Canis lupus familiaris: one gene and its partner. The protein of the gene in region 1 interacts with the protein of each later gene in a pairwise test. Links are inferred from orthologs where the notes say so. Each region holds a gene or a part of one and is shown on either strand. Other genes may lie near its edges.

Region 1 (6,276 bases):
CTCCAAGAGAAGTGACACTACTAGTGTCACAGGCCCCAGATCTCTGAGCCCCCTTGTCTTCACCTGCAAAATGGAGATGAGAGGCTATGCCTCCTCCTGCAGTTTAGAGGGTGGAGTGAGCCACCAGAGCACTGTTGGGTCTGCACATAGTCTGTGCTCCCCTCCTAGGACTGCTGAGCACCCCCATTGTTATTGCCGAGTGGCTGCCTTAATGAGGACAGCTGCCCAGACCAGGCAGGTGTCTGCAGGGTGGAGCCCAGTTAGGGCAGTTTGGGACACCCAGTGTTGGGGGAGCTAGGGGAGCTCTGTGGGAAGGCCAGGTGGGGTTGGGGTGCAGCACAGCACTGGGGCTGAGGCCGATCACAGGGTCCTGAATCAGGCTGAGGGGCGGTTGGCCTGTGAAGTTTGCTATTCCCCTCCAGGGTCCTGGTTTGTAAAATAAGAGGGTGGGATGGCTGTGCTGTCGGGACCCTGTGGTCAGCAGCCCCTTCTCCTCAGGCCTGTGGTGTGGACTACGAGGTCAAAGCCTTCTGTGCCGAGAACCTGGAGGAAAAGATCCACAAGCGGTGAGAAGGGCACAGCTTCCGCTGGGTGTGGGCTGCCTACTGGCAGAGGGAGAGAGACAAGACCAGCAAAGTCAGAGAAGAGATAAGTAACAATACCTGGAAGTGTGTGAGGAGGGGCCGCATATTCCAGCCCCAGAAACTCCAAGAAGGGCCCTCTGGAAGGCTGGCAAGTCCTGGAGGGGTTCCTGGAGAAAGTGGCTCAACTGTCTGGGGCTTAGGGCTCAGGCCTCAGGCCTCAGGATTTCTCCCTTTACAATGCTGAACCTGCCTCCTCCATCACCCTGCTTCAAGTCTTGCCCCATGAGACTGCATGTTTTTATTTTATTTTGGAAAGAAACACAAAATTTGGATCATTTTAAAGAGTGAGCAAGAGTTTTTTCCAGCCACCCTGAACCCCTACTTCCTACTTCTCCTGGGAAGCCATCAGCAGCAGGTGGTAGTGGGGGCGGCAGTGGGGTGTGGGATGGGTCAGCCCACGTGTCAGAAGAGGTAGTGTTCTCTAGAGAGGCACAGCCCTGGGCAGACAGTCCAGACTGGCAGCTGGAAACAGCTGGACCTGACTTCTGAGATAGACTGCCCAGCCCTGCTCTCGTGCCTGTTCCTCCTCAAGGCAGGCCCTGCCCTGTCTTCTGGCGAGGAGGCGAGGCTGGCCTCAGCCCCCCACTCTGATGCACCCTGCCTCCCCAGGCAGCCGCCCGCATTCCTACCGAGCCTGGCTGAGGGTGGCTGAGGGAGGGCACTGCGGCTTCTTAGGGAGTGGGCTGAGTTTGCCACCTGGCGGCTGAAGAGCGTATTGAGCATCTCCATCTCCAGCCCAGGCAACTCCAAGGTGTGGGGAGATGGGACCCTTCTCCCTGGCTTCTCTGTCTTCCTTTTCTTCTTCAGACCTGAGACCAGGGGAAAGATAGGGGTTCGTGGGTTTTTGAAGGGGGCCTGACCGGAGCAAGGAAGAGGAACGACACTGAGGGCCACTGCCTTCACCCTATGCCAGTGTGACATTTTAAGTCCACATCAGAGATACTACTGATAATGATATAGCAGCTATCGTTTATGAAGGGCCTATTAAGGACCAGACACTATTCAGGGTGGTGAACATGTAGGAACTAATTTAATCCTCTCAGCAACCCTGGGAGGTAGGTGTTGCTACTGTTGCCATTTTACAGATGAGGAAACTGAGATCCAGGGGTGAATTTTCTCAAGGGCATATAGTTAGTAAGGGGCAAGCTCAGACCTTCAGCCTGGCTGTCCAGTTCTAGGGGGTGCAGGTGAGAAATGGGGATGCTGGCACACCCAGCACATCGCAGGCACTGCCTCACCAGATCCCATCCCCTCCCAATCCTTGTATCCTCGTTTCTTCCCTAAGCCCCTGTCCCTTTCACTGAGTCCCATCTCATCTCTGGGCCTCCATCTATTCACTGGGTCCCCATCCTTGTCACTGGCCTACATCCCCCTGATTGAATCCACACCCCCTCACTGAACCCCGTCACCTCTCTGAGCCCCCACCTTTTCATGGGGTCCCTCTGCAGATTTTGATTTAATAGATATTTGGAAGGCATTTGTTATATGGCAGGCACTGTCATAGATGTTGAAAACACAGCAGTGAACAATTGAGATAAAAATTTTGCTCCTTAAGGAGCTTACACTATTAAGTAAAGTAAGGGATGTGGGAAGTGAAACATAGTTCCTTTCTCGCCATCCTGCTGGCTGCCAAGGCACAGATCCACATGAGGGACTGCCATGGGGTGGTTCAGCTCCGCTGGTGTGGGAGTTAAGACCGGGACAAGATCAAGTGAGCTGATCCAGGAAGGTTTCCTGGAAGAGGAGGTATTTAGCTGGGTCCTGAAGAAGGAAATAAATGAGGGTAGAAGCAGGAGGAGAGTATTGCAGGCGGGGGTCCGGTGTAAGCAAAGCTGCAGAGACAGGACGAGATGAACCACTGAGGATGATAGTGAGGAAGTGGGGGTGGCTGTGTACACAATGGGGGAGGATGGAGTGGGGCCAGGTGGTGACAAGGCCTCTGTGTCCACCTCTGCAGTTTGGTCTGGATTGTAACGCCGGGGGAGCCATGGCAGTCTCCTGAGGAGGAAAGGGAGGGTTATGAGGAAGGAGGATGGAGGCAGGTGACTCTGGCTATCTTTTGCTCTGCCCATCTCCATTAGGAATTCTGTGCGCCTGGTGATCAGGAAGGTTCAGTATGCCCCGGAGAGGCCTGGCCCCCAGCCCACAGCTGAGACCACCAGGCAGTTCCTCATGTCGGACAAGCCCTTGCATCTAGAAGCTTCCCTGGATAAGGAGGTAGGAGGCTTGGACTTGGCAGGGGGTGGGGGCTGTTCTCCTGGGGCTGGGACATCTCATCCCAGTTCTCTCATGGTCACCAGGGCTCCTGGGGTAGGTAAGAGCTTCTGCCCCCAGTCCTAAGACCACAGGGTTCAGGGAATCTGAGACATCCCTTAGGGGGCTGTGGGGAAGCCTCTGGGGGCCTAAAGGAATGGCAGAGTGGGGCATGAGCCTGAGGGATACAATCGACTTTAGAAGTCAGCGTGCCTCCTCTCTGCCTCTCTCTCTCTCTCTCTCTCTCTCTCTCTCTGTGACTATCATAAATAAATAAAATTAAAAAAAAAAAAAGAAGTCAGCGTGCCTCCTGAAGGGACCTGAGTCTCGGCCGTCTTCCTGCACCCCGTCCCCCTCTTAATGTGTGGGCACTGCCTCTCTCTCTCTCTCTCTCTCTCTCTGTGGATAGCTGAGGGCAAGTGTTGGCCACAGATTTGAGTTGAGGTCCTTCAGTAAGGATTCAGAGCCAGTTCCCTTGGTGAGCAGGCCCGTCTTTCCCCACCTCTCTCTCCTGCTTCTTCTAGGCCCTCCTGTGTCTAGAATTCCTGGCATCCCAAGCCAGCAGGGACTTGATACATCACCTAGTCCAAGTCCTCCAGATGGGGGGAAGCCGAGGCTTAGCCAACCTGTCCAAGGTCACACCGTGTTCATCCTCTTTATCATTATTATAATTAGTGTTCTCATTATTTCTGGTCACCAAGTCCAGACTAGAGCCCAGGAATATCACCTCCTCATTCAATTATCTTTCAAAATCCTGACAAAGAACTGGTCTAACATGCCCAGTGACTTAGCATCAGTGGGAAGTGGCTGATGAACTTGAGGCCAACGTCAGAGTGGCCAAAGTCTGGGGAACCCTAGGATATATGATGGGGCCTCTTCTCCCTCCATCTTTCTGGAGCTTTAGTATCCTCTGGTCCAACCCTTCTCTCTTCTTCTGCCTCCCAGATCTATTACCATGGAGAACCCATCAGCGTTAATGTCCACGTCACCAACAACACCAACAAGACAGTGAAGAAGATCAAGATCTCGGGTACCCCGGGTGGAAGGCCACCCCATGGGGCCAGCAAGAGGGAACTCTCCCAAGGGTTGGGGGTGGCTGAAGGTTCTCCCCTTGTTAACAGCCTTGTAGATAACTATTGGCCCGCAGGAAAGCCCAGGGCCTACTCTAGGCCAAAGGGAAAGGCTTTTGAGGCTAGTAACACAGGCTACTCATTGGCCAGGTAATGAGTTTACTGTTTAAGTCACCTACCCTCTAAGTTCCCTGGGTTCTGGGCAAAGCTGTCCCTGAGGGAGACCTTTGGTGATGGAAGGGAACAGGTGTGTTCGGGCTACCCTTTGTGTGGAAGATGAGGGTGGTCTCTTGAACAATCTCCCAGTGCACTCTGGCCATTCTTGGGGCTGAACATCCCCAACTCAAGGGAGCCTGGGATGCCCGGGAGCTGCAGTCCTGGCTCACACCACCTTGTCTCCCTCTCCCTCTCAGTGCGCCAGTATGCGGACATCTGCCTTTTTAACACAGCCCAGTACAAGTGCCCTGTGGCCATGGAAGAGGCTGAGTAAGTGAGCACAAGCCCATCCTTGGATGTGTGGGTGGGGAAATGAGAAGCCCTGGCTGTAGTTACAGATGCAGATGGTTCTTTTCCACCTGACAGAAGGCTGGATCTCAGACTTCCTTGTCGCTCAGAGTAGATCATCCCAAATAGCCTTTTAAGAAAACACCTGCTTGGTTTAGCTACAAGAAAATACATGCCACAGTCAAGGGACAGACCCATTAAAACTAGAATGACCAAATGAGACCTAATGAATCAAAGGGAACTGGGGTTGTAATTACACTGTACCAGAAACCTAGGTTGAAGGACATACTTTGCTCTGAGCTTCCTAACAGCCAAGACAAAGAGGGCAAGGTACTAGGTACACAGTATTTCTTGTCTGATAAGAGAATAATCCAACTTACTAGGTAAAAGGGGTTGTATGTGGGAGGGTAGAGAATAATTACATTTTAAAAATCTAGGCTTGAGGACAGCTACTCTGGTTGAGCATGGAATTTTGTCTCAAGTTTGTTAGCGGCTAAGGCAAGAGATCTCAGATGAAACATCTTTTCTTACCTAAAGGAAGTAGTTACTCTCATTGGAAGACACATCTGTGTGGTTTTTGGTTTTTTTTCCTGGCCCTGCCTCCTCTGGGGAGGCAAGTGCATTTCATATAATTTTTCACGTATGTGTGTGTTTCTTTACATATAATGGCAATGTATTTTTTTTTAATGGCAATGTATTTTGGAAAGTTAAAAACATGTTTTAAATGTTACTATATGGTCTTTGATATGTTCTGACTGGGCTGGGGGTGATGGCTGGGGGTTGGCCCTGGGGGCTGTGTCCACACCTGCCTCCCTTCTTCCCAGTGACACAGTGGCGCCCAGTTCAACATTCTGCAAGGTCTACACCCTGACGCCCTTCCTGGCCAACAACCGAGAGAAGCGGGGCCTCGCCCTGGACGGGAAGCTCAAGCATGAAGACACGAACCTGGCCTCCAGCACCTTGTGAGGACCTGCTTGCCCCACCCCCTGACTCCAGGGGGCCCACACCCACCTTTCCTTTTTCCCACTAGTGCCAGCACATGGTATGGTTACCCTCTCCCCAGGCGTTGTCCCTGATCCATCTTAGGAGCTTGAATTGTCCTCTTACTCCCACCCCTATCTAGGGGTGACACAGAGAGCAAGACGGGCCCCTAGACCCTGCTTCCTTTGTAAGTACTGGGCTCTGCTGGCTTGCCCAGGGGAGGGCAACCTGGAGAGGCTTCTTGCAGAAGGCAGCAGCTCCTGACCTCGTGTCTTCAATCAGACGGGGTGCGTCCCTGAGACAGAGCAAGGCTGGAAGGAAAGGAGTGACTCCAGCACAAGAGGATGAATCAGGAGTCGGAGTGGGGCGTCTGGGGAGATGTGGACAGTGAGCAGGGCTAGACCAGATGTCAGTGTGCCCCTCAAAGGCAGGGATCCCTGGGCCGTATGATCACTCCTGCCTCACGGTCATCACTGACTCTGAGGCTACCCTGCTCTGGTGGAGGCCTGGCATGTGGGGAACTCGCCTTACCCTGGCCATTGAGGCCTGGCCCTCCAGTGGGGCTTTGGCCTGCCTCTGCAACACCCTACCCCTGACTTCCAACATGGATCCTCTGCTCCAGACGCACAGTTGTCCACATGGACATGCTGACCACTTGCCTCCAAGCCTTTGCCCTCTTCTTCCACCCTGGCTCAAATCCTGTCTTCAAGACTTGGTGGAGGGGCTACCTCCTGCATGTCTTCCCCAATACCTCCTCCTCTGCCTTGCCAACCTCCCTCTCCCTCCCTGAACCCGCTGTCTGGCCCTTTGTGCCACACAGATTG
Region 2 (7,054 bases), on another chromosome or scaffold:
GCTCCCTGTGGAGAGCCAGATGCAGGACTCATCCCTGGACCCCGGGATCACCACCTGAGTTAAAGGCAGCCACTCAACCACTAAGCCACCCAGGTGCCCCTCCCAATAGCATTTTGAGCCCCTAGAAAATTCCTGGCTTACCTCAGATGCATTCAGAAGGGGTTAAGAGACGAAAGTAAATGTAAAAGAAATAGGAAAAAAATAATAATTTGCCCTAGGCCACTTATCTATATATTTATAATTCCCAGTACTGTGCCCTTTATTTTTTTTAAAGATTTTATTTATTTATTCATGAGATACAGAGAAAGAGGCAGAGACACAGGCAGAGGGAAAAGCAGCCGCCCTGCAGGGAGCCTGACGTGGGACTCGATTCTGGGATGGGGATCGCACCCAGAGTTGCACCCAGGGTCTCCAGGATCACGCCCTGAGCCAAAGGCAGATGCTCAACTGCTGAGCCACCCAGGTGTCCCCTGTGCCCCTTTTAAGTTTGCCAAGGACCTCTCTATAGGGTCAGCATAAGCACAAGACTCCATTACTTGGGGAAGACAGGCCCATTTGAGGCAGTCTGTGTGCTAAAAATAGGAAGTTAAGAATGATTACATAATCTTTGGGGTCCCTCTAGCTCCCAGATTCTACAGATAATGGAAGGATGAGGAGAGAGGAGCCTCCATTCTAAATTCCATGCTTAGCTCTTTCTGAAGCCAGAAGAACAAACATAGGTGGGGAAGGCTGTTCTCGCTTTCTTGGGCTTCACTGGGGGGCATATTGCTGAATCCACCTTAGTCCAGGGTCTTGTCCTAGGAAGAGACTTCTGGGGACGCATAGGTGGCTCAGCAGTTGAGCCTTTGCTTTTGGCTCAGGTGTGACCCCAGAGCCCCGGGATCGACTCCTGGGATCAAGTCCCACCTCAGGCTCCCTGCATGGAGCCCGCTTCTCCCTCTGCCTGTGTCTCTGCCTCCCTCTCTGTGTGTCTCTCGTGAATAAATAAACAAAATCTTAAAAAAAAAAAAAAAAAAAGGAAGAGACCTCTGCTTTGGGGAGGAAGGGTAGATGTACACTAACCAAACCAAAGGGCCAATTTATGAAGTAGAAGTGTGCAACACAGCAGCAAGGGCATCAAGCATTTCAACCCCTAACCATGGACTTGGTATCTTGCGGGTATCTCTGTAGAAAGCAGAGAATGTTTACAAATTAAAACTTTTAGGGGCGCCTGGATGACTCAGTCAGTTAAGCGGCTAACTCTTGGTTTTGGCTGAGGTTGTGATCTCAAGGTCGTAATATCAAGGTCGTGAGATCTAGCTGAGCCCTGAGGCGGGGTAGGGCTCTTCCTCAGTGAGGAGACCTCTTGTCCTTCTCCTTGCCCCTCTGCCTCTCCCCCTGCTTGCCCTCTCTCATGCTCGCTCTAAAATAATTGAATAAAATCTTTTTTAATTTATTCATGAGAGACACAGAAAGGTGAGAAAGAGAGGCAGAGGGAGAAGCAGGCTCCATGCAAGGAGCCAGATGTGAGACTTGATCCTGGATCCTAGGATCACGTCCTGAGCCAAAGGCAGATGCTCAACCACTGAGCCATCCAGGCGTCCCTAAATAAAATACTTAAAAAAAAAAAAAGAAAGAAACCAAAAGTTTTAGGTGTGCCTAGGTGGCTCAGTTGGAAAGTGCCTGACTCTTGATTTCGGCTGGGGTCATGATCTCAGGGTTGTGTTTTTTGTTTGTTTGTTTGTTTGTTTGTTTGTTTTAAGATTTTATTTAGGGCAGCCTGGGTGGCTCAGTGGTCTAGCGCTGCCTTCGGCCCAGGGTGTGATCCTGGAGACCTGGGATTGAGTCCCATGTCAGGCTCCCTCTGCCTGTGTCTCTGCCTCTCTCTCTCTCTCTCTCTCTCTCTGTGTGTGTGTGTGTGTCTCTCCTGAATGAATAAGAGACACACACAGAGAGGCAGAGACATAGGCAGAGGGAGAAGCAGGCTCCTCACAGGGAGCCGATGCGAAACTTGACCCTCTGACCTGGAATCACACTCTGAACCAAAGGCAGACCTCAACCGCTGAGCCACCCAAGTGTCCTGATCTCAGGAGTTTTGATATTGGGCTGCTATCAGGCTCTGTGCTGGGCATGGAGCACCCTTGATATTCTCTCTCCCTCTGCCCATCCCCCCTCTAATTTTTTTTTTTTTTTAATCAACTTTTAGGGGCATCTGGCTGGCTCAATAAAGCATGGAATCCTTGATCTCAGGATTGTGAGTTCCATTCCCATGTTTGGTGCAGAGATTACTTAAAATAAAATCTTAAAAAAAAAAATTAAGGGGCAACTGGGTGGCTCAGTCGGTTAAGCAGCTGCCTTCAGCTCAGGCCATGCTCTCGTGGTCCTGGGATCAAGCCCCCAGTGGGTCTCCCCTGCTAAGCAAGGAGCTTGCTTCTCCCTCTCCCTCTCCCTCTGCTCATGCTCTCTTGCTCATTTCATATAGATAAAATCTTTAAAAAAATTTTTTTTAAAGATTTTATTTATTCAGGAGAGGGAGAGAGGCAGAGACACATGCAGAGAGAGAAGCAGGCTCCATGTTTTATCCTGGGTCTCCAGGATCACGCCCTGGGCCAAAGGCGAGCTCTCAACCACTGAGCCACCCAGGCGTCCCAATAAAATCTTATTTAAAAAATAAGATTGATTGATTTTTGGTGGAGATGCTGGATTTCAAACAGGGGCCTCAAACAGCAAAAAGTGCTTAGAAGCATTGCTAGTCGGTAAAGAACTGGGAGGAAAGGTCGGACGTCGCCTTAGAGACTCAGGGAAAAGCTCAGTGCGTCACCTCCAGGCCGGAGGAGCACCTGCCTCCAGGTGGGCAGACGATCCCCTGGACTAGAACTGCTCCTGGACTTGGGTGGCCCCTCCAGCATTCTTATCCCCAGATACGCCCTCTTCCTCCCTTCCAGGCCCTCCTCCAGCCGGACAAGCCTCCTTTAGATATGCTAATACCGTCCGAGCGCTGAGCTCGGCGTGGACTGGGAAGTTTTCTTTCCTTCCTTTGCAGTTTAGGTGGCGGCGGTGGGGTGGGCGGCCTCACCGCTCCCCTCCCCCACGCACACACCGCGGCTGGCCCCTCCGGGTCCTGCGGGGCCCTGGCTCAGTGGGTGGGGCAGGGAGGGCCCTTTGCCGCCGGGTGGTCGCCCAGAGGGCTGGTCTTCCCGCGGGCGAGAAGGGCCTATTCAGACCTCCCGGCCGCGCCCCCGCCCCGAGGCCGCAGCCCGGCAGGGGCGTGTCCCCGCGCTCACCTGCCATTGGGCAGGTGGGGCGGCCGGCCTCGGGCGGGCCGCGCTATAAACGCGGGCGGGCGGCGGCGGAGCCAGGCGCGCCGCAGGATGGTGGACAGCGTGTACCGCACCCGCTCCCTGGGGGTGGCGGCCGAAGGGCTCCCGGACCAGTACGCGGACGGGGAGGCGGCGCGCGTGTGGCAGCTCTACATCGGGGACACCCGCAGCCGCACGGCCGAGTACAAGGCCTGGCTGCTCGGGCTGCTGCGCCAGCACGGCTGCCAACGGGTGCTCGACGTGGCCTGCGGCACCGGGTGAGCGCGGGCCGGGGCCCTGGGGGTGGGGGTGCCGGCCGGGAGGAGGGGCTGGGACAGCCAGCGTGGAGGTGGGGACTCGGGATGCCGACGGCCGGATCCTCCCGGCGGCGCGGCGGCGGCGGCGGCGGCGGCGGCGGCGGCGGCGGCGGCTTGGCTTTGGGACCAGACCGATGTAAGCTCTCCTGGGTGCTGGCTCTGGCACAGCTCCCGAGTCGTGGCCTTGGGCAGTGTTAACAGTTAACAATTCGTTCGATACTTGGCCGTGCCATGCGCTGTGCCAGGAGCTTTGGATACATCCATTTTTAAGGTCTTCAGAAAACCTCAAGATGTATGCAGTGATGTCCCACTTAGAGTTGCTGAAATCCTGCCCCAGAGGGGTGAAGGCCCCTCTACCTAGTGGAGAAGAGATGCTGTACTACTTCCGCGTGCCCAGGTTCCTGAATTCCAGGGACCTCAGTTTGCCTCATCTCTCAAGCGAGGGAAACCCCATGTACCTCACAGGGTTGCCGTGAGGATTAATGCACAATGACGGAGTGCCTGGCTCTGAAGGGATGCTAACAAAACCCCAAAGTTGCTACCTGGTGATAGGGAACCCATTTGCCAGGTCATTTGAGATCAGTGGAGAGGGCCTGGGGAGAGGAAGAAGAGGAATGGAGCCAAGAGTGGAGGAGACAGAAGGGTCCAGCACAGGACCTCCTCCTTGCCTTTCCCAGGCCCCTTGACTGCCCCTCCCTGCCTCTCTCCCCTCTGGCCCTGCCCAGGGTGGACTCCATCATGCTGGTGGAAGAGGGCTTCAGCGTGACCAGTGTGGATGCCAGTGACAAGATGCTGAAGTATGCACTTAAAGAGCGCTGGAACCGGCGGCACGAGCCAGCCTTCGACAAGTGGGGTACGCACGTCCAGGCAGGCCTTCCCCGCCCGGCACCCCAGGGCCCAGTGCTCTTAATTCCTGTGCAAATTCGGGTGTTTGTTTTCCCTAAGGGGACAGCAAAATTACTTTCATTTCCCCAGAAAGGGAGGCTTAGGCACTAGAATGAGGTATCTGGTAATGAGGGGCTAGTTTTGATTATAAGTGTCTTCTCCCAAATAAAACCCAGTAAGCACAGAGCCATTCTTCCCATCACAGCTTCCTCCCCGCCCCCTTGACCCCTCCTCCCCTTCACCTTCCATATCCATAATAATCCCCTCCTCCTAACTGGATGGGGAATCCCCATGTGTCTTGAAGAGGAAACTGAGGCAGGGCTGCACTCGATGGAGAGGGGTACTGCTGGTGCCTCCATGCCACCTCGAGCTCTCCTTCCCCTTCCTGGTCCCAGTCATTGAAGAAGCCAACTGGATGACTCTGGACAAAGATGTGCCCCAGCCACCAGGGGGTGCCTTCGATGCTGTCATCTGCCTTGGAAACAGCTTTGCCCACTTGCCAGACTGCAAAGGTGAGACAGAGTGTACCCTGGAGCCTGGCCCTTTGAGCTATACCTCTTTTCACAGACCCCTGGGTGCCTGCTATCCTGGCCAGAGCAGACTGTTTTCTGCTCCTCCCTGACTTGGCGTCTGTATCCCTGGGGAGGAAAAAGCTGGGAGGGAGACTGGTGCTTGGGGCCCTGAGCGGACGCAGCCTCTTTGCCCTTGCCTGGAGCTCAGGAGATCAGAGTGAGCACCGGCTGGCACTGAAGAACATCGCGAGCATGGTGCGGTCAGGGGGCCTGCTGGTCATTGACCATCGCAACTATGACCACATCCTCAGCACAGGCTGTGCACCCCCAGGAAAGAACATCTACTATAAGGTGAGGGCCCTGGGGGTGGGATGAGAAGCCCAGAATGGGGGATGTGATCCTGGGGTCCAGCCCTGCAGTGGTTGCCAAGGCTAATACAGCCTGCACCACTACCTACAGAGCGACTTGACCAAGGACATCACCACATCAGTGCTGACAGTGAACAACAAGGCCCACATGGTGACCCTGGACTATACAGTGCAGGTGCCAGGGGCTGGTCAGGATGGTTCTCCTGGCTTGAGGTACCCACTGGGCTTGGCAGCGGGTGAAGGGGGGTGGTGCCGAGGCCACCAGTCCTCATGGTTGCTTGGGGGCTCTGTTGCAGTAAGTTCCGGCTGTCCTACTACCCGCACCGTTTGGCTTCCTTCACGGAGTTGCTACGAGCAGCCTTTGGGGGCAAGTGCCAGCACAGCGTCCTGGGTGACTTCAAGCCTTACAAGCCGGGCCAGGCCTCCATTCCTTGCTATTTTATCCATGTGCTCAAGAGGACGGACTGAGCGCTGAACCTGGCCTCAGCTCCTACAACCCTCCAGCCAACATGGCCAGCCAGATCTCTCTGGGGAGGTGGGGACTAGCAGTCCCATACCCGGCCCAGCCCCAGCCCTGCAGATCCTGGGGTGCTGGGAGGGGCAAGACTGCTGTTGTGGGTGCAGGATTTGGGTTTGGGCAAATGGAAGTAGTAGCAATATAGTCTGTGCCTTTTTCAGTTCTGCATGTTTTGTGTTTATATGGGAAGGATCAAGCTCCCGCCACCGTCCCCTCCCTGGCCCTCCCCTGGGGCTTTGTCCTTCCACAAACTAGCTCTTTTCACACTCCAATCTTTCAGATCACAACCAGCAGGGGGCAGCATCCACTTTATTTTCAGCCAAGACTGAGGCTCCCTCTGGCCAAGCTCCTCCTCCCAGCAGAGGGTCTTTAGTCTTGGGGCTGGAGCTGGCCTGGAAGGACAGCTAGGCAGGGGATGATGCCCTCTGAGTCCCCATGGGGCTGCTTGGCATGTAGGGGATCTCCTGGAGATAGGCAGCCTTTGGGTGCAGCCACAGCTTGCTGAGGAGCCCTTTGCTCTCTCAGGTCTCTGTGGGGACACCTAAGTACCTTCAGCCCTTGCGGGCAGGGTCCCAGATGGTAGGAGGCTCCTAGCAGGCGGCAAACTTGCGCTGGATGCGCTTGTAGCGGAGCAGTTCCTGCTCACTGACTGAGGGCTGCAGCCGGGCAGCGGCCTGCAGTAGGTCGTCCATGGTGAGTAGCAGTGTTGAGCTCCCGGGCTCCAGCCCTGGTGGGGGGAAGGGTGACAAGGGAGCAACAAAGGCTGTGGCCTGTGTCCGAGGAGGGGAGAGCCCTGGAGTGGGCATCATCTTCTTGCCCAGAGGCCCCCAAATTGGCCTATGGGGCTGGCAGGTAGCTCACCTTCCTCCAGGTCCCGAACCCTGCGTTTGAGGGCAGTTGTCATGGCATCGGAGCAGAGAGAATAGAGGTCTGCGCCTGTCAGCTGGGGAGGACAGCGATCCAGCACATTCACCAAGCTCACAGAGGGCTCTAGCTTGAACCTGTTATGCAGATAGAGGTTTTACCTGGCATCCTCTTTTTTTTAGATTTATTTATTCATGAGAGACACAGAGAGAGGCAGAGACACAGGCAGAGGGAGAAGCTGGCTCCCTGCAGGGAGCCCAATGCGGACTCGATCCCAAGACCCCAGGATCATGCCCTGAGCCAAAGGCAGATG

The links.
Region 2: the proteins of ARRB1 (region 1) and GNMT interact in binary tests that used the Homo sapiens proteins (3 or more experiments, as listed by UniProt). The link is inferred for Canis lupus familiaris from reciprocal best matches to the Homo sapiens genes ARRB1 and GNMT.

The regions. Positions count from the first base shown.
Region 1 is NC_049242.1:23,398,481-23,404,756, forward strand, and holds part of ARRB1 (beta-arrestin-1), read left to right. Parts: intron 1-498; coding exon 499-566; intron 567-2,725; coding exon 2,726-2,861; intron 2,862-3,842; coding exon 3,843-3,927; intron 3,928-4,380; coding exon 4,381-4,453; intron 4,454-5,295; coding exon 5,296-5,433; intron 5,434-6,276. UniProt on the Homo sapiens protein: Functions in regulating agonist-mediated G-protein coupled receptor (GPCR) signaling by mediating both receptor desensitization and resensitization processes.
Region 2 is NC_049233.1:11,684,985-11,692,038, forward strand, and holds GNMT (glycine N-methyltransferase), read left to right. Parts: upstream 1-3,314; 5' UTR 3,315-3,350; coding exon 3,351-3,556; intron 3,557-4,320; coding exon 4,321-4,448; intron 4,449-4,875; coding exon 4,876-4,992; intron 4,993-5,200; coding exon 5,201-5,343; intron 5,344-5,451; coding exon 5,452-5,573; intron 5,574-5,656; coding exon 5,657-5,828; 3' UTR 5,829-6,041; downstream 6,042-7,054. Other genes in the region: PEX6 (peroxisome biogenesis factor 6), read right to left, coding at 6,468-6,604, 6,739-6,878. UniProt on the Homo sapiens protein: Catalyzes the methylation of glycine by using S-adenosylmethionine (AdoMet) to form N-methylglycine (sarcosine) with the concomitant production of S-adenosylhomocysteine (AdoHcy), a reaction regulated by the binding of 5-methyltetrahydrofolate.